Linked DNA regions of Schizosaccharomyces pombe. The gene in region 1 interacts genetically with each later gene. Each region holds a gene or a part of one and is shown on either strand. Other genes may lie near its edges.

Region 1 (13,425 bases):
ATGAAAAAAATTTTTTTAGGAACCAAAAAAAGGGGGAGAGAAAAACAAAAAAAACCTTGATCTCTAAGCAGAGGCGTTATGTACAAGACATCTCTTGTAAAACTCTATGACAGAATTAAAAACAACCAAAAGAATACCACCACCAGGGCCCAGACGGAGTACTTTAGGGACAAAACCTTTATACAGGGCTGTAAAACCCTCTTCCCTTGCGACTGTAACTAGAGCTGGATAGGCCCAGTTATATTTTGGAACTTGGCCGGCAATACGAGGAACTGTCTGAATACGCGACTTGATAACGTCAAAGGGAGTGCTGAGGAATGTACCAAATATTCCTCCGATAGTTCCAGCAATAAGGTTATTACGGATTTCACCAATTCTGCTCGAGGCAGGCGTCAATGAATTCCGAATCTTTTGAATTACACCAAAATATCCAGCATTCCAAACGACATGGCGCCACATAGTGGCTTCAAACCCATTGTAAAGAGCTAAAATTCTCTCTTGCTTTACAATTTTAGTAAAGCAGTCGACAGTTCCGTTATACTTAGAAGCATTCTTAACGTCTTGCAAACGAATTTTCATCAGTTCGAAAGGTACGACTACGAACGTTTCAGTAAATCCTGCACATGATCCAGTGAGGATAGAAAGTGCAGGACTTGAATCCTTTCTCTTGAAGACTTTACGCCACAGCTTTGAATAAGTATCGTTGGAAGCAAATTTTAATGCACGCTTAGGAGCCTCCATCAAGATTGGAGGTAAAATTCCACGATACAAACGATGTGGACCCTCATTCTTGACGATCTTTTTGAGACAATCAAAGGTTCCATTGTAGTCTGATTTACCAACGGACAGTTGCATACGAGTTTTAACAACATCCAAAGGATACAAAGTTAGGACCTGAAAAAGAAAGAGTTAGTAAACAAGGCCATGTTAAAGGTTTTAATGGTAAAAGAGAGGTAAAGAGAGATTTAAAAAACATGGGATAAAACTTATAAAGAAGTAATTCGTTCAGCATCTACGGAATCAAACGTTTGCTTTCCTTCATCTCCAAGACAGCTCTTTTACCTTACGCAATTCATTGAGCATTTTGAAGATAATAACATTCTTCTCCGAAAGCCTTCAAACGTATCTTTCAATGAAATAAAGTGCTCCAAATAAAAAACCTTACCTCTGAGATTCCAGCAACTGCGCCGGCAGCAAATGTAACAGGAAATGGAATATTATCATGAGGCATTTTCGATAATATAGTAGTTAAACTTCAATTTTCACACTTAACAAATGCTGCTGGGCGTTGTTGTTAAGGAATGGAAGGCAAACATCTGTTGAGCTCACATACAGGTAAATTTAAGATGATTCTCAATGATAAAAGATAAGAGCCGCTAAAAATATTCATAACGATAAAATCGACAAAACTTCGTTTATTTCCAAATCTTAAAGTCATTTTGAGTTGAGTGAAGATAATTTTCATTTCAAGGCACTGTCTTCTGTACTTCGCCTTTGAAGAGTTGGATTTTTGGTTTCAATTTTAAAAATTCATAATAATTTTTGCACCCGAAGTATCGAAGTTAAGATTAAAACTAATACTGATTTGATGAATTTATTTAAGAATCCTTTTTTTCCCGAGCTGTTTGAATGACTTTTGGTGCAGGTTAAAATTGAAAAAATATATGTTTATTGAATGATCATTGAACACAGCATAACGTACTGTGATTTAATTTTGCATATATAACGGGTGTTTTAGTTCTAATTTAAAAGGAAAAATGTCTGAAAAGTTCGTCGAATTGAGAAAAGGTATGGGTTTATTTACATCTGCAATTTCGTTCATATCGAAAGGTCTGTTTGTTGTGCTATTTACTAACTACTTTTTTGTAGAATTTCTTACCAAATTATATAAATCCACTCCTAGTGAGCAGACTTCTCGCTCCGAAAAAGAGACTTGGCTTGAAGAAAAGTCAAAATATTTAGGTGAAATGACGAGGGAGCTAAATGAAGTTCAAGACCAAATTGCACCATATGACAGGAGAGTATGCATGGAACAACTAGTAGATTTGACACGAAGGCTTCAGCAAATTCGACACGACATTTTGCCCAGACAGCCATTTCGCTTTCAACGGGCACTGCACGTCAAATCGTCCCAGAAACCGGTAAAAAATATTACAGTTAATGCTGAAGCTCCAGAAGTTTATTTTGAAAATGACACCCTGTACTTGGCAAATTTGAAAAACCAAAACATTGGAGATAATGTCATTCCATATCCTAACAACAAAGCTGTCAAAGTTTCCGCAAAAAGTTTACGATCATGCAATATTTCCATATCCAACTGCTCATCTGTGAACTTACATAACGCTACAAAATGCAACTTTACTTTCCCAACCATTCAGGGTTCTATCCATCTTTCTGATATTAACGACTCAACAATCTGTGTATCGTGTCACCAAGTAAGTTTTTTTGATAAATTTGAAGGCATCTAGACGATGGTTTTGATGGAAACTATTAGTTAGACGTAGAGACTGCTATCATTATATTAGGTTGTCAATATTTAGATCCCATATTCTTAGTATGGATCACAACAATGCTGTGTAAACAAAATTGATAATGCTTTCTACTGTTTGATTTTACTTTGCCTTCTGGCCCTTCTTTTGATTGATTATATCGCTAACGCCTTCTAGTTTCGTCTTCACCATTCTACCAACCTTCGTGTGCACCTGCGATGCAAAACATCGCCCGTCATTGAAGAATCAAAGGAGATATCCTTTTCTTATAAAGATGAGCATCCTATTTTGGATTTTACTTGGGCACGCTCTGACCCGTCTCCACATTTTCGTATCACTAGTGACCTTTTTGACGCTTAAAATTCTATATGTATGCACCAAAATCATCCATTAGTAAAAATACGTAACGGTTTAGCTTGGTCTTTTACTGACATACACTCGTTGGTGCTTTTTTTTTTTAATTTAATATTCTTTCGTACGCCTTTCTAATCATTCATGTCATCCATCCATCTTACCACCAAGTCGATTATATCAGTAAATCCTTTGAGATTCCTTGTTTCTCATTTTCGACTTTTTATACCACTTCTTGTCGGAATACATATCTGATCACTAATTGTTATAACCCAAGCCATTGATTTCAATTGGCTTGTTTGGTTTATTGAAAAGAATAGATATCAAAAATAATTTATAACGGGAATTTAGCTTCTGATATGTCACCTAAAACACTCAATTCCCATATTTTTTTTTTAATCTGATTTCTCTACAGATTTTGAATATAGTTGTTACTTGCAAGTAACGATCATTAATAATACCATGGTTTCGATCCATCCTGTACTCTTCCACCACTCTGTTAATTTAAAATCAAAGAGCATTTAGTGGGTTAAAAAACAAAAATACGGAAATTTTTGGGAACGTTCATTAATCACTTTACCTCATTATATACGGGTTGAAAGATATCACAATTCCCATGAGTACTAATTCAAATGTAAGGATAAGCCTTCTTTTTATACTGTTTAAATTCCCTGATATATCAGTCTAACAAATCTATTTTAGCAAAATTCAATTCATACTCCAATACCTGAATTTCCGGAAAACCGGTCTACAAATCGATCGGAATTGGCAGCTGCTTTCGAGCCTCCAGACGACGATGTGGAATACAGTGAAACAGCACCTTTATATAGCTCTGCCAGAGCATCAATAGAAGGAGAAGAAGCTTTTTACCAACATTTATCAACGCCGGATCCTGGCAACGACTCTGGGCATGTACGTAGTAGCAATGATCGAATTCCCAGCACTTCATCAAATCATGCAGATGGCCATCACGTTGATAGTGTCTTCTCTAATTTATCTGCTAAACCCACAGTGGAATCTAATACTGAAGAACTGGAAGAGGAGCCCCCTTCTTATGAACAGGCTGCTGCGGATACCGCCCCTCCTTACTGGGATACCACTATGGTAATTCCAGATTACGGATCTAACGAGATTTACATTGATGGGATGTCCGTTGGAACTGGTTTCTCCTTTGTATGGAGTGCTTGTGTCGCTATTCTCTTTCCTTTTGTAGGATTTCTTGTCACATATGTCTTATCGACGACTCATTTGGGTCGTTATGGTGCTCAAATTGGACTTAGTTTAACTCTTTTTCAACGTGGCTACATAATGATTTCGGAGAGTGGGATGGAGAATAACGACGATCAATACAATTACGACGAGTTACCACATCAGAAGCTTATAGGCTCTATTCTCATTATAATCGGGTGGTGCTTGGTACTAGTAGACACCTTTGGGTTCATCAGAATACGCCGTATGAAGAATGCCATTAGTCGGACAGACTCACCTGGTGAAACGTCTCCGGAAGAAGTGGTTTAGTCACGATCTATAGGTTCTTTTAGTTGCGGCCGTATACTTTACAAAATAATCGGCTCCTTACTTTTTCGTTTATGTGTTAAGATTTTATTTCCCTTATAGTTTTCATTTTTTCTTTAAACATGTTCTCTTTTTCTATTTCGGTTTATGGGCGGATGATCCTTGTTTTAAATACCTAGTTTATTAGTTAATCTTGCCCTACCTGATTTTTTTTACGACGCATCATTTTACTTTTCGCTCTCTTTGATGAATAACTTGGCACATTCACGGCACTGTTGATGTATTTTTGTACAAAGCTCGTTCAAATTACCTTAAAACCTGCTATTGATTCTACAGCTACTTTTATGTTTTTTCCATGGTACTTCTATAGTGATTTATTGACTTATTTATTGGAAACTTCTACTAGTTTCATCTATTAATTACATTTTTTGTCAAAGATTACTACTTATAATAAAATTTGCGATAATCGCCATTTTAATAATAAAAGCCGTTTGTTTACATTTCAATTTTTTTGCTAGACTTTTTGCAATTTTGTCATAGAAAAATTTTCTCTTTATAGTAAAGACTAATAGATTATTAACCCGTACCGATGTATAAAGTATAACTAAATTTTTATGTATAAATAGATTTTTGAAATATGAATTCATAGCTTCCATGCTTTAATATCGTGAAAAACGTTACAACTTCCAACCTCCATTCATAGCAATTGATCACGGATGATCCATCCTAGTTTTTACCCTTCACATAGTTTTTAAAGCAGAAGATTGTGTTCACGGTGAACACATTCAATTATGTGTCGATACTCTTTCCTAATGTACTAGATAAATGTTAGCTATATGTAAACTGGAAAAAATTTGAGAAAATGATTATTTCCCTCAAATGGGAAATAATAACGACTTACCGTAAGCATGTAAGGGTTAGCATTGTTGCCCGTAGTATCAGCAAAAATTTCGCTTTCATCTACCACAGTAACATATTCATCATTATATTTTCGATACACATTGTTTTCGAAATCATGAATGTAAGTCCAATAATGACCGAATGAAGCCTGTCCACGATGCACAAATACAGCAAGCAAGTCGTAGCTATGGCTGATGTAATTATCGAAAAGATGCGTCCTTTCTTCTTTTAAGCTGGCTTCCTGTTTTTTAAGCATATCCACTTCAGCGACAACATTGTTTATTTCCTCTTGAAGGATATCAGGAAGTTTTGGATTAATAGGAAGTCTCGAATCCTGCTGCTGTGCAGCCCATTTAGATAGAATAGACAATGTATCAACAGATGACATTAGATTCGAATTTGTAGTTAACAATAGCTGTTGTCGTTTTTGAAGGTTGATAATTTCACGCTTTAGATCCCAGTACCTTTGTAGTAAAGGTGCCATTTTCCCATCAGTATCTTCAACATATCTGTCCATGGAAAGTTCTTTTCCAAATTCAACAAATGCATTAGACTTGAAAGGCTGTCCAGTAGTCCTGTCAAATTGGACACGCTGTATTTGTAATTGCAAAATTATCGGTAGCTCAGTAATACACAAGGATCGTTGGGCAGTTTCGCTTCCCATATCAATATTGACTGTTTCAAAAACACCATCCAATGCATCATACAATGTTTGTTTCTCCTCGAAAAGGTCAACGATCAAGTGAGAAAAAATCTCATAGTTAGACCGTACTCCTTGACTAGCATCATTTAGTGTTTGTTTTAGTTTGCCAGAAAACAAACGTCGTATAAGATCATTATCAGAGCCAAGACGATCTTCTGAGTTGGAAATACGACCAAGTGAAGCTTCCAGTTGAAACAAAACGTGATCAATACATTCCAAGACATCTTGTTGACGACCTAAATCCATGGAGGAGTTTATTTCTTCTTCAGATACTTCAAAGTAATGAGGTTGTGTTTGAGACTCTCCGTTAGTATTGGCCATGGGAAAATCAATTAAATTAACTGATGAAGATTGTTCCGCTGGACTTTTGGCCTCATCCTGTCCTTGTTCTTGTTCAAGCCCTTGAGCTTGCTCTTCTGCTCTGGGGTCAATAGTGATAGATCTCTCATTCAAATTGCTCAACTCTCGAGACGATGACAAATCCATAACCGAGGATGTTCCAGATTTGACCTGGTCCAACGTAAGAGGTATTAAAGCAAGATATGTCAGTACTGAAGAAGGATGAACAGACGATGACTTTGAAGTAATGAGTTCAATAAATAATTTTCGGAGTTCATAAGTGAATTGTAAAGCCCTCAAGAATTCAATTCGAGTAACAATCCGTCCACCAACTTTCTTGACAGCTTCCTTGTTTTCAATCATATTAAGATCTTTGTTTTCATCAATATCCAAAATTGCATTACGAAGAGGTTTTATAATAAAGTAGTATTGGATCAGGGAATTCAAATAACAAAGATTACCAGTATTTTCCAAACCGATCGGAGTATCCAAACTTGAAACTTCTGGTGGAATATCTAGATTTCCATGTTCTAAATAATGAGTGATTAAACGCGAATTCCTAACTTCTCCTATACATTTCAAAGCTGCTCTCAAAGTGTCTGATTGCTCTGGGTGGTCTTCAACAGCAAAGCCGTATACATTGATTAAAACGTCATCTGATAGTGCACGATCTTGAACACCTAATGTGTTGTAAGCTAGATCTTCATCCATAGGCACTTCTTTAGGCTTCTTGTTGGAAGGTCTACCTTGTGAAGCCAAGAAATCGTACAAAATGGAGCTATTTCTCTCTTCAGCTATCCATTTGACGGCCTCGATGGCTTTGTCGCTATCATCTTCAAATTTCACTAAGGCCACAGAAGCTACCATGGCGTCCTCGGTGTTAGACTTAATGCCCAACCATTGGTAGGCTTCATTAACCGTATAAAAAGCCTGTTCTGTAGACAAAACATAATTTAAAATTTCAGAACTCTTTCTTGCATAGCCAATAGTCTCCAAATCGTTCCTAATAGCTCTGGCAAATTCAGGTTTTCTTAGGAGGGCAGAATGAAACGCCTCAAAGATTTTTTCTTGACTATACCTGTAATCCGGGCCTACCTCAGCTTCAAGTCCTAAACTCGAATAAGCGGCTTGTATTACATCGCTCGACACGATTCCATTTTTCCTATCTGCCGCAATTAGATCTCTCAAAAAGCTGCTTTTACGTAAATTGTATATATGAGCAAGCGCATCCGCATAAACACGAACATTAGCTTCATCGTTCTTTTTTTGTTCCTCATAGAAATAACGGACAAAGCTGTCTGGATAATCATTCGTGATACCCAAGGCTATAAAAGCAGGATCATCAGGTAAGGAGGCCGAATTGTCGCGAAAAACTGTGGTATACATGGGAACCACGCTATCATAGTTAGGAACGCCAAAGGCATTAATTAAAGCAGGTCGAGCCAACCTAACGGGAAAAGGGTTAGCAACAATAGCCGGATCTTCTTTAGTGTCACGAAAGTGATTAGCCAAAACAATAAGTTCATTCCTAGCAAGGTATAGATTAAGTTTTTGTTCGTCAGTAAGGGGAGCGTCCGCAATGGTAGGGACATAATTTACATTTTCGTGGTGATATTCAAACAGAAGAGATTTCATCAAAGATTGAATTTGGCGGCCCTTTCCGACATGTCTCTCAAAAGTTCCTTCCGGGGCAGCGCTAATGGCACGTTGATCGTTATGGACCAACACGTTTCGTAAAAACAACTCCAAAGAAGTAAATGTAGTAAAAAGAGAAGGTTGGGATGAATGGGATGACCCTTGATGAGATGACGATTTTTTAGTTAAAAGGGAAGCAAATGATGGACGTCGGGAATCAATTATCTCTTTGATACAATTAGCATCAAGATAGCTATCTCTCCATTCAACTTCAATTTCACTTTTTGTTGTTTTGCTACTCCATTTCATACAAGTAGAGGTAGTAGCGAATTCACTTTTCGTAGGGCTAGTCACATGAGGTTCAGGTAATTCCTCTTCTTCGTAGTAAACAGGAATCCTATCTTTTATTCCATAATTTTCTTCAGGCTCTTCAATTAATGGCTTCCCCCTGTCTCTTCGGACTTTCACATGTAAGTGTTTGCGAGTTTTTTGACAAACACACCAAAAGTCATTCTCGTCAAATACAGCGGACTCGCCTAAATTTGAATGAAGCTGCCAGTGATATCTTGAGCTATGAGGACTCCAAGGATCATTCCATCCAGCTGATGGACTATCAAAGACGTCTAAATCTTGAATCAACCGATTAGGACTTTTGCCAATTCGCAAGTTCTTTACAGTTGCCATTCCTCTTTATAGTTTGATGTAAATAATTTTAATAAAGAAATTTAAATTTTTTATTATGAAAAATACTTGAAAAAACGTCCAAACGGAAAGAACGTACAGATTGAAGGATTTTTCATGAGTAAAGGACTCGGTAGGTAGACTTCATGCGTATGATGCTTGTCGTCTTACATATGCCAGCCAGGTATGCGACCATCAATTTTATGAATGTGGGGAATAAGATAGAAGTAAATGTTTGTATTTCATTGATAAGGCTACTAAAGAAGGTAAGAAACAATCAACACCTACATTTCGCTATACGAAATTTACCATTATGCTTAAATAAGATTTTTAACCTAAATACACCTTACTTTAAAAATAATGTAGTTAATCAATAAAGATTAAACTTGGTTAACTGGAAGTTAACAGAATGGAAGTCTAAAAATCTAAAATATCATTAAAACCATGAAATGGTTAGCAATTGTAAAAGAAGGAAACTAGGCATCCTGTAAAAAAACAGTAAAGCTAAAATTAAAAAGACTTCAATTAGAAGAACGAGAGACGAATATATATGCCATCAGCATACTTTGGTGTGTCACGGAAAAGAATAAGATCTTAGCAAAAAATTGAAATCAAACAAAAGAGATAAATCTATAAACATGGAAAATAAGAATATTTGGGGATTAGGAATTAAAGCAAAAATTTGAAGAAAAAATAGAGAAAAGCAAACAATATTAGGATAACTGCCTTAGAACATTGCGCATGTCGTCACTGAGCTAGCCATTCACACTACGGAAATGTGCTTAATTGTAAAGAGAAAAGAAGTTCAGATGTATTGGCGAATTTTTAAGAAGGCTCCAAAGAATGTTCAATATTATTTTCGGGTAAAGCTACAGAAATAGGAGCAATAGCGGGCATGTTTGCAACGGGCATTGAAATCGGTAGATAGCCTAAGAAAGAATTTGTAAAAGATTGGGGCGTTAGTGGTGAATTCGTTGTAGGGATATGCATAACAGGTGGTGTATAAGCGACTGAAGGAAGACCCGAGAGCACAGTAGGGACAGCAGGTAGTGGAGTCGCATAGTGAGCGTATGATAATTGCAAGGGTCTCCCGCCATAACGATAACCATTTAATTTTTCAATTGAGGATGCTGCATCATTTTCATTCTCAAATTGAACGACACCGAAACCTTTAGATCGGCCAGTGGGCTCATAGGCGATTCGGGCACGAATGACTGAGCCAATATCTGTGAATAGGTCCAATAAATTGCGATCTGAGGTGGCCCAAGGTAACTATATTCAGTCAGTAATCTCCAAAAAAAACTTAAAATGATGCGGAAAACTAATCCCACAAAAGCGTCCTTATATACATACATTTCCAACGTAAATGCAATCCGAGCAGGGTCCATGGGGATACGCATGATAAACTAAATCCTCGACTTGAGTATTAGCACCTAACATGGGTAGATAGGTGGATGATGTAGTCATTTGCATTTCCGCTGGAAACGTATAGCCATTTCCATGAGTGGAATACGGCTTACTTTTATGATGTGCAAACCGATCTAGGCGAACTTCTAAAGTGCGGCCCATGAAATCAGTGTTATGCAACATTTGAATGGCATGCATGGCTTCTTTCATCGAACTCATGACAACAATCCCAATGCCACGGGATCGGCCTTCTTGGTTCATTTGGATATCAGCTCGGATAACAGAACCAGCTTGTCTAAACAAATCCTTTAAATCTTGCCAGCGAACGTTATACGGTAACTATACTCGTTAGTACCATTTCTTATTTGCAATTCCACAATTCATTAAAATACCAAAGTTCGAGGAAAAGAATATAGAGGATTAGAAATTGAACTTACGTTACCAACAAACAATTGCCTGTCTGGCTCAGAATCTTTGCCATTCGACGACGCGCTAGGCGATACTGAAGAGGAGCCAAATCTTGCATTTTGTTCTCGATCCTTTACGAAGGTTAATAAGCGACATAAAAAAAATCTTACTTCACGGATATAAACAAGACGGCCCATAAATTTTTGGTTGCTCAGAGTTTTAATTGCCGTGCGCGCTTCTTCAGCAGTAGAGTACTCAATTATCGCGCATCCCTGATATATTAGCTAGACTATTCACAATCTGAGTATACGACAAATTTTAGGATAAGCTATAGGCCATAAGTAATCGTTTAAAAGTAACGTTCAATTGGATCGATTCAACGTTACAATTTAAATAGACAATGATTTACTAGTCGCATGAAACCCACCCTCTATGAAGCAAACTTACCTTCGATAATCCATTCGGAAGATTCAAAATCTCACAATTAAGAACATTGCCAACTTGTCCCATAAACTCTTTCAACTCAAACCAACGAACTTGATATGACAAATTACCAACATACACGCGACGCTCTTGTTGAGTGTACTTTTGGCCATTTCCCAAGTGAGGGTCTCTTTCAGTGTGCTCTCCATCAAAATGCAAGCCACGTTTCAATGAATTGCTTCCGTTGACATGTCGCTTCGGAGACTCCGATCTGTCACGATCCATATTGGAAGACGATGAATTCAAGGAACTTGACACATCCAACTTACTACCCATTCCTGAATCAAATTCATTCTATTTGATCAGCTAAATCAATCAATAGTTATCATACCCATTCTATAGGTTTAGGCATCGCAAGAGCATAAGCTGAGTGTGCATCTTCACATAATTAAAGCATCCCAACAACTTGACTTCTATAGTGTAACTGCAATATAATTTCGTAAGTGATATACTGTAAACTCTTAGATTCGCTAAAAGAACAATAGAATAAAAAAACTGTAAACATTTAAATTATAAATATTGACATGTACTGACTAATTAATCATAGTAAGGAGTTTTAGTTGTTTGTAAATGAGTCGTAATAAAAATGGAAACTCAAACAATAACTAGGGTTAGAGATAACCTCAGTTAATATTAAGTGTTTGAAAAATTCAAAGACTGTGCATAAATTGTATCAACAAAAAAGAGACAAACGAATATATTAGGAGTAAACAAAAAGGCTTTTGGTACAGCACCATTATTATCATCATGAATAATTCCTTGAGGCAAAAGTTGTCCTTATTAGTTATAATCATAAGTTTGCACAAGCCATGTATTAAAAGACAATAAATAAATTTTCAACGTGATTACCAAAAAAATCGGTATCAGGCTAGGAATTTTAAATAAGAAGACAGACTCAATGCCCTTGGGATCCGAACTCTTTGTCCCATTCTGAATATCGTTCCAGCCCTTGCAAGTTCACACTAGGCCGGATTACCTTGATACTAGTTTTAAAGTCATCTAAATTAATCGGCCTAATCGACTCCATTTTCGTGAATAGCAAAGACTCACCTAAACTTCGCAAAGGCCCCATAGCTGCGTCTTTTGCCAATGCTGTCAAATCAGAGCCAGAGTAATATTCGGTTGCTTTCACAATAGCCTCAATATCCTCTAAGGAAAGAGAATGCTTCTGATATTTTAAAAGGTTATTTAAATGTAAGCGACGAGTGGTCTCATCAGGGAGGGGAATGTAGGTACGACGGACAAATCGTCTACGAGCAGCATCGTCGATACACCAAGGCAAATTGGTAGCGGCAAGCACTAGAACTCTTGGGTGATCGGCGGTTTGTCGAGATGCAGCTGCTCTTGCAAGCGAAGACCACTGAATTAAGAATTCTGTTTTTATTCTTCTCGATGTTTCATGCTCATTTCCATCACTGCTTCTAGCAGAAAGCAGTGAATCAATTTCGTCAACAAAAATGATGCTTGGAGACAGCTTTTTTGCTAAAGTGAAGAGAGCACGAACAAGTTTTTCGGATTCACCCAAAAACTTGGATGTTAAACTAGAAGCTGAAATAGAAAAAAAGACAGAACGGGATTCAGTAGCAACAGCTCGCGCAAGCATTGTCTTACCAGTTCCTGGAGGCCCAAAAAGAAGCATCCCCCTAGCTGGTTCCCGCAAGCCTTGGAACAAATCTGGACGCAAGAACGGATACACCACTGCCTCTTTTAAAGAGTGCTTAGCAAATTCTAACCCAGAAATATCATCCCAATGAACTTCATCACCCGAAACCACGATTTCTCGAAGTATACTCTTACCAAGCTCTTCGTCGATGTCTGGACATTCACGCAGAATTTGTTCTTGCTTTTCAGAAGTCATTGCAGAGATAGATGTGGATTGAAACTGCTTTTCAATAATCTCTTCTTCGTTTGTGTGGTTGAAAAATTCATCGCCATCAACCGGCGAATCTTTCTCTTCACAGGAAGAAAGCCCCTGTTCGGAAGCTGGATAGAGATCACTCAGAAAAGGGTTGTTCACAGATAAACGTGGCGGTGTAAGGAAATCCAGATCTTGCGCAGTTTCAGTGGAAGCAGATTGAGCTCGTGGAGCTGACTGAGGAGTGGGAGATGGCGATTTTGTAACTGACGAAACAGAAGCGAGAGATGGCGCGACGGTTGCGATTGAGGTAGATGACTTTGATAACTGTTTTGATATAGAAGGTACTTCAGTGGTACGATTAGGGAGATGGGATTGCGTTTTCTTTTTGAAGGGTGAGGAAGAGGAGGAAATAGAAGAGTAAGTTCGGCGGGCAGCTTCAATAACGGCGGAGTTATCGGGAGTTGGACGATGACGCTCAACCTGAAACGATGATCGAGATGCCTGCGCTGCTTCCGATGATATGTATGATGGCGGGAGAGCATGCTTAGGCTTAGATGAATTCAAAGATCCCCAAGCCAATAGAGCTGCTCGATTGGCATTGTTCTGGGTAGAGACTTCAGCTGGAAGTCCAGTCCTAGCAAGCGATTTACTTGGAG
Region 2 (12,124 bases), on another chromosome or scaffold:
CCCCCAAAATGTCATATTGACGAAGATCGAATCCTTTATTTCTAATTTTTTTTCTAACCGCAGATAATGATGAAAAAAAGAAGAAAGTAACATTTATAATAGTCTTCTTTTAGTTATAATCAGATTTTCTGCTTCGATTTTATTAATTAATGGAAGTAAATTCAAAAAAATGGATTTATCTTACTATCGAGGGATTGTTCCCTAAAATGCGTTTCCCGCTACTGGCCAGTCGTTGTTACCTTCTTACTACGACTATGGGATTCTGAGTATATATAATTATGACATGAATTAAACAACGGAAATTTAACCATTTACACTGCTATTGCTTTTTTTACTTAAATTGTGTGTTTATAACAGGAATTGAAACACAAATTTTGTTCTCTTGGTGCAGTCTGCGTTTTAAATTTCTTTAGCGGCAAAAGCAAACAGTAGAGAGAGATTTTAATTCCAATTCAATTTGAGCAACAGCCACGCCTTTTCTGCTCAAAATTATTTTTTTGTTAAAAATTTTCTTTTTCTTTTTCTTTTTTATCCTTTATCTATTGATTTTCATCTTTGGTTTTACGAGTGGTATTTGCTGGTTCAAATTTTAAGTGCATATACCGATTGATTGATTGATTTGTTGATTATAGCTTCACTCCATTCTTCGTTGCATCCTTTTTAAGTTTCTTTTTTATTTCACAAAAAGTCTATGCCGAAGTTCTGCTCGTGTTTGGTATTTCATCTACAGCGTTTGTGTATAGCATTTCCCAAGCATTCGACTTTCTGCGAATAATTTCAAAATTTAATTATCTCCATTTTTTTTCCTATCCACCTTTAATCTCCCTTTTTACTCGAATTTCTTTTCTATCTTGCTCAATAAAAAAATATTCCCTCATCATTGATATTATTCGATTGCCCAATCTACTTTGCGTTTTTATATCCCTCCTATTTCGTTCTTCCCTATTCTTTAATTTCCTAATTCCGCTTTGTTTGCATTTTCAAGACCTCCCTATTTGAATTAATTTGGGTATTGTTTGGAAACTTTCATATAAAATAATACCTTAAAAAGAAGTTGCATTGGAGATGCGCGTTTTGGTTGCTGAGACCGGAAGAGAAGATAATGTGTCAGTACATTCTAGAGAAGTGTCTGTGAACGGCAGTGATTCTGGTACAGGCAATGATGCCTACAAACTAGAAACAGACGATGAACATCCGCCTGCCACCCCTGTACGTGGATTATCCACAAGATCTCAAAAAAGACCCTTCAGACCTTTAACAATTCAACAAGATGAAGATGTAGAAAACGACACTGGTATGAACACCGAATATAATGATGACAATTCTAGCTTAGTTAACACACCCCGAGACTCTACTACGTATGCCGAGACGAATTCACCAAACACGGAAAAATTGGCCGGAAGAGATGATGATCGATCTCTACTGAACTTGATTGATCGTGGTGAGATCGATAGTAAAAGACAGAGACATTACGTTCCCGTCCATTGTAAACGAATGCCCAAAAAGGAGATCACACTTAATCAAAAACTTTACGTTTCTCAAGTTATAGGTCCGGCTGATGCTCCAAAGTCAAAAACTATTTTTGGCAAGCGAATTATGCAATGGGAGCCTTCTCAATTTAAAGAATCTGTGTGGGCCTCCGAAATTAGCAAAAGTGGAAAATATCTGGCCACCGCTGGTAAAGATGCAATAATTCGTGTGTGGAAAGTAATTGAAACACCAGAAAGAAGAGAAACTTTACTCAAAGAAGGTCCTCAAAGTTGTGGTCGTTTCTTTACCCCTTCTAGCATTTTTGAACCTGAACCTGTCCTAGAATGTGTAGGTCACAACGCAGAAGTCCTTTCCATTTCATGGAGCAAAAATGATTTTTTATTAACTAGCTCTGCGGATAGAACCGTTAGGCTTTGGCATCCAAAATCAACCAAATCCTTGGCGGTTTTCAGGCACAATGAGATTGTTACATGTGTCGCATTTCACCCGATCGACGATCGTTATTTTGTTTCTGGTTCCCTTGATTGCAAAATTCAGTTATGGTCCATTTTACGCCATAAAATATTGCATTGGACGGAACTTGAATATGTCGTTTCTACTATTTGTTTTTATCCAGACGGTGAGTCGATCGTTGTGGGCATGTTCTACGGATTATGTGCAATATATGAAACTAAAAATTTACAATATGTGTCCTCATGGCTAATTCATCATTCTCCCTCAAGAAATAAAAAATGCCGAGTCACTGGATTACAGTGCGCATCTATCATTCCAAACGATTCAAAATCCGACAACGTTGTTTTAGTATCTACTAATGACAATGCTATCCGGTTATACAACACGGTCACTCACGCTTTAGTGTTGAAACTGAGTGATGCTCATCGTGTTAATGGCAGAGTACTTTCTCGTTTAAGTGAAGACAACAGTTATATCATTAGTGGAAGTGATACTAATGAAGTAGTTTTATGGCATATTCCCAACAAGGTACTCATCAATGCATCAAGAAAACGCTCTGTCATTCTCCATTTGCCCACGGAAACATTCAAGGTTTGTAGTGAGAGACTGACTTCGACCATCATTGCACCAGCAAGGACTGCTGTCGAAGCTAAAGAGTCGGAACATGATCGCAGTTTAATTGCAGAAGGATACAATCTAGTAAAACCTCATAGTCACAGATCATATGGAACACCTCCTGTACATCCGATTGATATAATAATTGCTACCAACATGGCAGGTATGACTATTGTCTTGTGTGTTGATTATGATTTGGGGAATTCCCATCATGGATTTAGAAACTCAAAATTTGGACACTTTGTGAAGCGTTTATTACGAACCTAATCTCGATTCAAAACTAATATTACTTTACCTTTTTTTATTTTGTTTAAGTCTTCTAAGTCATTCAGGTGTCATTTAAAATAGAGGACTCATTTTTTCCCCCTTTTAAATAATAGTTATGAAGTTTTTTTATGAAATTGTTTTTAATAATAGTATAATATAATATTCATTTTTTCGTGGTTTGTTAAGACACAAAAACAATTTTACGTCCAGAAAATTACTCCAGAATGTGCTGTAACTAATTGAGAGAAGCGTGGATTAAAGCGAACAATAGAAGGTGTTTCTGGTAAAAGGTTTTTAGATGTTGAAGAAGGAATGATAGCTAGCGGGTTCTCTGTTGAATGACTATTGCTGGTCGGAGTAGTTGATGCTAGGCCCATTTCGGTGAATGAATTAACAATGTGATCCGAGTTAACAGTTTGTTTCAGTTCTGGTAGTTGATACATGCAAAGATGCTCATTATCATATGAAGTAAAAAGAAATTTACTATCTGGAGACATGCAAGCTGAAGCATAATAAGTCAAATTTCCATCTTGGGTTTTTGTGCTAACCTTTGAAGGAACTCTTAATAATTCACTTCCACTATAAGCGTCTATAACGTAATGAAAATCATTTCCAGTTGTTAGCAATAGATATTTACCATCAGTACTGAATTCCACATTTGCAATGCGGACATGAGGGGGCAGGAATGTTAAAGGAATGTCTTGAAATGGGCGAGCATCAAATGATTTAATGTTATAAAGAGAAATTTTGTATTTTCTTTCACTAACTGAGGCAAAGATTAGTCCTGTAGCATCAAAAGCTGCAACAACGGGTGAACTAACATTGAGCAAACCCTACGTATTCCTAGTTAGTTTGATTATCAGTAATTGTTATACTCATACCTGGCAATTTGGAGACCGAAGGTCCCAAAGGCGAATAGTATTATCTAAAGAAGCGCTTAAAAAAGTTTCATCTGCTGGTGATACATCGATTGAAGTCACTGTTTGCTTATGGCCAGGAAAATATCGAAGATACCGATTTGTCACAACGTCTAAATAACGAACGGTATTGTCTTCCTTTGTGGAAGCATGTATTAATGAATTTGAATGATGAGTAAACCGACCTAAATGTGCTCCGTACTTTTTGCTTGCAAGTGATTTCACAAATCTAGAAGTTCATGGTCAGTTAGCCAAACAGGTTTCAAAAGTGAATTTAAGAAGTACTTACTTTCCAGAAATGCAGTTATACAGTTGTAAAGTATCATCAGTACACGACGCCAAGCACAACTCTCCACTGTCGTCAAAACTGAGAGAGGTAATTTCACCAACAAAATTCTGATTTTTCAGCCATTTTCTTGGTTGCATAGACGACAACAAGTCAAAAGTAATTGAAACTGTTGTCATTACTAAATAACGGTATGCTAAAAGGTGGGTTTCCTGAGAAAAATATATGGGTAAATAAGTTTTAAGTATGTATTTAGTGCGTATCTCCTATTAATATTCAGAATGGCTGATTACTGGAAAAGTATTCCAAAATATTATTGTAAATATTGCCAAATAGTAAGTTTTTTCTATAACATCCAAAAATTATTTCTAAAGTGGTGAAATTAATAGAATCCTACTAACAGTACAGTTCGTGAAAGATACACCATTTGCGCGACGGAGCCATGAGCAAACTTATAAACATCAGGATGCTATTAAAAAAGTAATGGATGATATTCATCGTTCCAACCTTTTAAGGCAGGAACTTGAGAAGAATTTATCTATACCAAAATCAGCTACTGCTACCACTGCTTCAGCGGTGTCATCTGAACTAGCATCGTATGAGAAACCAAAAAAGGAGCATCCAAAATTACGTCCCTCTAAAAAAAAAGCTACTTTGGATGATTGGGATATTCCTACAAGTTCTACGGAGACTGACACCATCTCTACTACTCATACCAGCTATATTCCTACATTGCTAGCAAAGCAAGAAGAAAATGAAGAAACCAAGGAAACAACTACTAATAAAAATGAGTCTCTACCAGGGACCTCTTTGAAAAGAAACAGAGAGATCATCGAAAAAGAAGAAAGATCTTCATTTCATTTTCGGGTAAAACCAAAAAACTTAGATAAAGTACCTAAGTTAGCTGAAAACGAGGGAAACAAATCGCTAGAAAGCAAGGAATCAAATGAAAACAAAGTGGTGTTTAAAAAGAAAAAGTCTGGAAAGTTAAGAACAAAATCTTCCTTAAAAGAATATGATCAATCTTGAAGAAAAAAACCATCTTTGTTTAAAAAAAATTCTAGGATGAAAAAATTTTGTATCCAATTCCTGCATTCTGTTCAACATAACGAGAGTAGCTTTTGTGTTGGGTAATCAGCATTAAGTAAGTATTCATATCGGTTATGAATGCTAAGTTGAACATTTATTCAATAACTATATTTGAGGTTTATTGAAAACATTTTTCCTTTTTTTATTTTGTTTTATTTAACATTTCTTTTCAAAGTCATTTTGGGACACTTATCTTCAAACTCCTCCAACAGACTTGAGCGTTTATAAAAAAGAATGTAGGAAGAGGAGAAATCTTCTCTCAAGTCAGTAATACCGCCCACTGTTCGAACAATTGAGTCATCAATATGGCACCATTCATTATTAAAAAGTACATCAGATATATAATGTCCATTTTCGAGCTGGCCATAATGACAGATAAATGCAAACAGGTTATAATTGCTAGGAATATAACCAATTCCCGATTGGAAACTCGGTGGTACCAGCATTTTACTTGGAATCTGTAAGCTCAATCCAAGTGGTGTATCAATTTTTTTACGACCCATTACGGATATTTTAAATCTCTGAATTTGTATGATCAAATATTCAGGTAGTTTCGAAATCATAATTACTTTTTTTGCCGACCTTTGAACCTTGCACACGGGACAATGCCATCCATCATGCCCTTGCAAGAGTTCAGGAGCTGAAAATTTTAATAAGCATTCTTGTAGGCTTACTACATGGGAGACATCGTCAATCGGTATCGCAAGCGATGTGAAGGGAGCAAAAGTAGTAGATGTGCGGCCACATGTCATACATTGAGTACGACTGCAAAGTTGACCTACAAAATTGTTGACCACAATACTCTTGTTAGACCGGAGATGCAAGTTCCATTCAATGTGTGAAAAGTGGGACAATGGGAGTTCTTCTCTGGCACTTAATTGATCTTCCGTCAACGGTGCTATCGGAGACCGAGATGCATTGGAGTTCAAATCTTCATGAAGTTTATCAAGAAAGAAATTTAAAAATTCTTGAGCATCGCATTGGCCATCGATGGAGAAATCTCTATTCAATGACTGTACAATTTCTAAAAAATTCCTTGGAGATATTGATCTCTGACCATGGTTTAATAAGACACTTTGAAGCAAGGAAAAGAAAGCAGATGTGATTTTTCCACCGGTACCCAATGGATTTTTGGTATTGATATTTTGAAGCAATCCTCTCCCCTGTAACATAGGAATAGTCAAGTCCTTACACGCAAAAAGACATTGCAGGACACAATTCATGTAACAAGTATTACCCAAATTCGTTAAACCTATAGGCTGATAATTTTCATACGATAAAGAACTATCAACTTTCTTAGGGTTCGCCAATTCCATGAAATGAGGATCCAACTTCAACGAACGTAACATCGAGTAAAGCTTGTAAGCCAAAGAAACGTCTTCGAAGTATCTTTCCAAACTGTAACAAATAACCATGCTTGGATGAAAAGGTGCGGATTTTAAAAAGTCATATATTTTTGAAGAATCCATCGATTGCAAACAGGATATTGGGATGGCAATCGTGTGCTTCGAAAAAACATAACCCTTTGAAGACTCTTGGGAATAGAAATTAAGAAAAAGAACTTTAAGTGATGATTTTTTTGATAGGGAAAGAGCGTCAGAGATTTGAATTACAGGCAAATAATGCTTCACCGCTAATTTGCTTTTTATAGTAAAGGCTTTGGAAACGGCTTGAATTGCTAACTAAAAGGACATGTTAGTATTCAAGATTGTAACTTGAACAAAAAATAAATTAAGTTTGCTTCAAAGATCATAATTAGTACAGTCTCGTCAACTATATCAAATTTATCTGACGAGAAGGCTAGGGAGCTTTGAATACAAAATTTTCGTGTTTTGAGCATTAAAAAAAATACTATGTACAATGTCGATACCTTTTGGAACTGTTTGAATTCTCCATAATGAGTAGACTTAACAGAAATCTCGAATCGGCATGGAATTTCGTAAGCAAGTTTTAGTGCTTTTAAATAGTAATAGTATGCTTTGAGTAATGAATTTTTTTGTTCAAGAGTTTGGGCCTCAAAACTGTTAGTAATTGAAGCACATTACTATAAACGGCACGGAAAAATTAGACATACCTCTTCAAGCCAGCGTTGTCCTCTGAAGGAACAGCTTTGAATCGTTTCATCTTCATTAATATAAACGAATGCTAATTCAAATAGTCTGTCGAAATAATCATCGGACATCCGAGGAAGAACCGAGTATTTGTGTTGGCGACTTAACCTGAATTGAACCAAATACTACAAGACTATAGCCTTTTTTGGTTATTATGGTTTCAATTGAAGCTATGAAGGATTCAAATTGGGACTTGCAGATACAAGTATTCCGGCGAAGGCTTAATCCGGAAGTTATGTAAGTACTAAGCAGGTTAGCTGTGGGTTAGTTAATGTAAACATCTTTATTAACTAGTACCAGAGAGGCAAGAAATGAGATTTTCTTATCCTTGCCCAGTGATCATGGATTGATTACTTTAGTTATAAATAAAGATAAACCGTTTCAAATATCGGTATTACTTGAAAAAAATCAAGAGTTCATGCAAACGGCAATGAATAAGTACGTTGAAACGGCATTTCAAAATCAGAAAACAACTTTGACAAGTTTATTTAATTATTTGTTACAAAATTGGAAATCATTTGAGACATGCAATACAAAAGAGCGTGAGTTGATGGTTCAACAAGTCGATTCTAAGAAACCAGAAACCCCAACTGACTTAGAGCCGTTGGCAAATAAGCTTGAAGGACCTCTATCAGAGAGGGTTCATTTGAACACTACACTTGACTATGAAGTACTGCGTGGTCAAAATCACTGTCAAAAGCAGAATACTACCCAAACAAAAACTACCATCTCTGGCTCTGAACAGTTATTCAATGATGAAAAGCCAAAAAAAATTATTTATTCAAAAGGAGGAAACGATGGGAAAGAAGATGATCTACAAAATGTTAATGAACCACAGGATGCTTACAGTAACGATCATGACATTCAGAGCAAAGACACAGAGCTTCTGGGTAACGAATACTGCTTAGAATGGAAGAATCCGCATTTAACTAATGTCGGTACTCTCAAAGCACCAATTTTACGTTTGGTCATAAAGTGTGTTCGGTGCCATTATGGAAGTGAAATTTCTATTGCTACAAAATTTTCTCTTGTTTGCAATAAGTGTAGTAATACTCTAAGATTAGTTTGGGTGCCTGGTGTGATTCACCCAAATAATGCCCGTTTAGGTATCCTCCATACTTTAGGATGTGTACCGGTTGACGTGATGCCCATTGACTGTCAGGTCTCTTGTATGGAATGTGTTGATGAGCAGATAACATCCTTTAAAGGTATTTCTTCCATGCAGCCCATGCTACAGTTTTGTAAAGTATGCAAAAACAGAATCTTGGTTGAACATCAAGATACCGAATTTCATTTGTTAAAACAACGACAAAGTTCAATGGGCGGGAAGGTGAGCGCAAAAAAGAAGCAAAAACAAAACTTAAACATTACGAAAGGATTGCCACTTCCCAATAATGGTGCTTGCGAACATTACAAAAAATCATTCAGATGTAAGTCGTTTATAAAATTCATAATTAACAATCAGGGTTTCGTTTTTCATGTTGTGATCGTGTTTATCCATGTGATGAATGTCATGACGCTGATCAAAATCATACATTTGAGCATGCTAATCGAATAATATGTGGGTACTGTGCCATGGAATCTTTCTACAAAAAGGATGCAACTTGCCCCCATTGTGGAAATATGACTGTGAAAAAACAAACCAGTGCCTACTGGGAGGGAGGAAAAGGAATGCGCGATCGCGTTCGCATGAGTAGGAAGGATCCAAGGAAGTACAAAAGGAAGCATCACGGTAATTAATTGGGTTGCATGACATCCATATTTTTTTGCTTCATTAGATACCCATATTGTATAAAAATTTAATGAATAACAAGTAGTTAATCTTTTGATAGAAGATACTTTTAAAGTCTTCGTATTTAACCAAAATAATTATCCTTCATCATCACTCACTTCATAATTGACGAGAGAAACCGAATTATCTTCAAGGATTTTCTCTCCCTTTAAATTTTCTGTAGGAAATTTCCTTTGCTCGCTCCTTAGCTTCTCGGAAGGGACAAATTTTCGAGCAAAAGGATCTTTTTTTGCGAATGAAGTCTCAGCAAACTTTGCAAAAGTCGAAAATGTTCTAGAAGAGGGCATTAATGTTCTTCTATAATCTAATTTCCTTATAAATTTATTCTTTCCTAATTCGTTATCTAGCAACAATAATGCCTTATCCTTGTCAGAAGAAGAGGGTGGTAATATATCAATGTCCAACGCTGCACGGTTTTTGAGAGATAGATCTTTAGCTTCTTGCTTTTTTTCAATTTTTTTCCTTTCCTAAGTTATGGGTTAGTTAATATGAAAATTTTAACGCAAAACAAATTCTTCTTACCCGAAACTGTTTTCGCAGCCTCTGAGAAGAAACGAAAGGATCCGACCAAAGCCTTTCATTTTTCTCATATATAAAGTTTATTACAGAACTATTATGCTTTTCTGACTTTTGCTGAGTTAATTGGGTTTCCAGCGCTTCAATTGCATCAGACGGCACCTTTTCGTCGTTTTCAGCTTTTGCAGGACGTTCATTGATGTCTTGAGGTTCAATTTTCCTTCTGCCTCCAGAAGCAACGATGTATTCTGTATTCTATTTATGTCAGTAACAAATTTGTTAAATTAATCAAACCAGTACCTTAGGATCCGTATGTACATCGATAGGGTTTGAGCATAAATGACATTTTAAGCTGAATGACCATATTTTCGTAGTATAGTATGAGCCAATCTCTTTTTTAACAGCATTGAATCTAGTGCCTTGTTGAATGATATTTTCACAATTGTTGCACCACACTGGAAATGGCATTTCAAACCGAATTACATTTCGTAATTTATCAAATTTTCTTTTAGCATTCGGCCCTTCCGGGGGAATATATTTCCCCATATTAAATCCTTGCATTTTTAGTGAGTATATAGCTCTTTATGCCCAAAATCAGTAGTTCCTAAGTTAATACTACGTCTAGGTGAAGTTCAGGCTAAATCAGTGGCATGCAACAGAAACATAATTATAACTCTTAGTTAATTCATGGCTTTTCAACAAACAATTTTAAATTACGTTTGCTAAATTGACGTTAAAATAATAAGGGTTCCATTCTACAGTTTCAAACGGACAAGGTAAACATGTACAAATAAATAAATTACATGACGATTATTTGAATTCATTTCTTATAAATTAATAGAAAATTATAAATGACATAAAAAGGTATCGATGAATTATTAAACACTTGATGATATTTTTAGGTTGCTTCAACGGGGACGTTCAATTTCTTGGCCAAGTCTAAGAAGCTTTTCGTGTAGCTATAAAATTTCGGCCTTTTGCATAATGATAAGACAATCAAAAATGTCTGCTGAGTAGGGAAAGGACCGTTATGCGACATCCTTTTAATGGTATTTAAGCATTCAGCTGCTTGGCCCTGCTGAACAAGGTTACGTAGCTTCTCATGATATACTTGAAGATTTAAATCAAATTTGTGACTTTCCTCAAAATACTTCCAATACCTTGCTAACAAATCACCGTTTTGTATTTGACGAATGACCTGTAATGCTGTAACCAAACTTCTTGAAGTACAATCGCAATATGGGGGTAAAGGATAACGCAAGTTGGAATCTTCGAAAATCTGATATTCCAATCCCATCACTTTTGTAAGAATATTTAACCCCACGTTTCTCACTTGAGGCGAGTTGCTAGTAGCCAGAAGTTTCACAAAGGAACAAATAAGACTTTCATCAACTGCTATTCCTTTCTTTTGGCATTCAAGGACAAAATAATTCCAAAGATTCGTCCCCATCTTTAACACTTCTTCACGTTGTTCCGGATTGAACATAGAAAAGTCGTTCAAAAGTCGAAGAATTTGAGATCCACTATAGAAATCCAATGTTTGTTTGATGGATGGAATAATCATTGACACCAATACCATACTTTTAAGCTTTAGACTACACTTGGATATAATTCGTATGTGATGCAAATTGGATGTGACATTATTAGACTCCTTGAGAGCACTAGCTGTTACCTTTTCACTATATTCACGTAGTTTAGAAAAATTTCCTTGCTTATTCTTTTCAATAGCATCGCAAAATCCCTTTAGAAGAATGGAGTATGTATGATCGCTAGGTTTTTGTTGGCGCTTTTTCATATCATTGTACAAAGACCAAGCAGCGTTGTAATGCCCTTTAGCTAAATGATATTGTAGTACAAGGTTATAGGCAACCGTCTTCTTGGCATTTGATCTCTCGTACAGTAAATGCAATGCTTTCTCTAAAGACTCTTTTTGAAGTAACGAAGATACATTTTTAGCCAGTTTGAAACCATCGTTTCTTATTAAGGATGACTTAGTTTTTTTATTTCGAAACTCATTTAGATTGTTGACTTGCTCCTTGAATTTCAAAGCATCAGCGATTAAAAGGCGCTTTCGTACTAATTTCCGCGCATTACTTACTGAAACACTATACGTGGTTGCAAATTCCCGCAAGCAGAAGCGGTTTAGGAGCAAATCGACAAAGGCCCTTCGCGGAAATGTCCTTTTAATGAATTGCATTAAACAAACCACTAGTTTATTCAAGTTTAGGATTAAAACCGCGTTAGTAGGAAGTAAGTTATAAAATATGAGTTGTTACGAATGAAGACACTACATCATTAGTTCAACCATCGTCTTATGTACAACGTTGAGTAAAAGTGCTGTTTGACGAGGTAAAATTACTATATGCACACAAAAGATTGCAAAAATGAGTTAACAAAGCTAATTACAATGAAAGTAACTACTAGCGATGAATTTACTAATAACACCTAATGACCAAAACAACTAAATCTACTTGTTGTAAATTATTTTGTCAAAGCTAGGAAAGATATGGTTATTTTTAACATCTACACCAAATTAAAGCATCTTTCTAACGAGAGAGTTAATATGCTCATCACGCTTGCCAGCATC

Evidence for each region.
Region 2: mutations in ubp2 (region 1) and ubp4 together harm fitness more than expected from each alone (negative genetic interaction), as found in Schizosaccharomyces pombe (2 studies listed by BioGRID).

The regions. Positions count from the first base shown.
Region 1 is NC_003424.3:3,482,516-3,495,940, reverse strand, and holds ubp2 (ubiquitin hydrolase Ubp2), read right to left. Parts: upstream 8,748-13,425; 5' UTR 8,617-8,747; coding exon 5,257-8,616; intron 5,173-5,256; coding exon 5,107-5,172; 3' UTR 4,842-5,106; downstream 1-4,841. Other genes in the region: odc1 (2-oxoadipate/2-oxoglutarate transporter), read right to left, coding at 64-894, 1,166-1,231; tubulin specific chaperone cofactor C Tbc1, read left to right, coding at 1,758-1,788, 1,870-2,435, 2,667-2,849; bsd1 (heavy metal ion homeostasis protein), read left to right, coding at 3,457-3,474, 3,543-4,358; hrb1 (RNA-binding and mRNA export factor), read right to left, coding at 9,439-9,885, 9,967-10,359, 10,458-10,559, 10,599-10,700, 10,876-11,205, 11,243-11,263; spg4 (AAA domain-containing protein), read right to left, coding at 11,807-13,425.
Region 2 is NC_003423.3:1,778,949-1,791,072, forward strand, and holds ubp4 (ubiquitin hydrolase Ubp4), read right to left. Parts: upstream 7,496-12,124; 5' UTR 7,467-7,495; coding exon of another isoform or gene 7,384-7,466; 5' UTR 7,301-7,383; coding exon 7,193-7,300; intron 7,133-7,192; coding exon 6,989-7,132; intron 6,986-6,988; exon of another isoform or gene 6,801-6,985; coding exon 5,271-6,800; 3' UTR 5,059-5,270; downstream 1-5,058. Other genes in the region: SPOM_SPBC18H10.05 (WD repeat-containing protein), read left to right, coding at 1,066-2,826; swd2 (Set1C complex subunit Swd2.1), read right to left, coding at 3,027-3,659, 3,708-3,972, 4,033-4,208; wbp4 (WW domain-binding protein 4), read left to right, coding at 4,311-4,364, 4,438-5,058; SPOM_SPBC18H10.09 (zf-CHY type zinc finger protein), read left to right, coding at 7,384-7,466, 7,530-8,659, 8,695-8,969; splicing-associated factor Saf4, read right to left, coding at 9,099-9,488, 9,544-9,792, 9,838-10,098; PPR repeat-containing protein Ppr2, read right to left, coding at 10,436-11,734; RNase MRP subunit, ribosomal protein L7-like Rpl701, read right to left, coding at 12,071-12,124.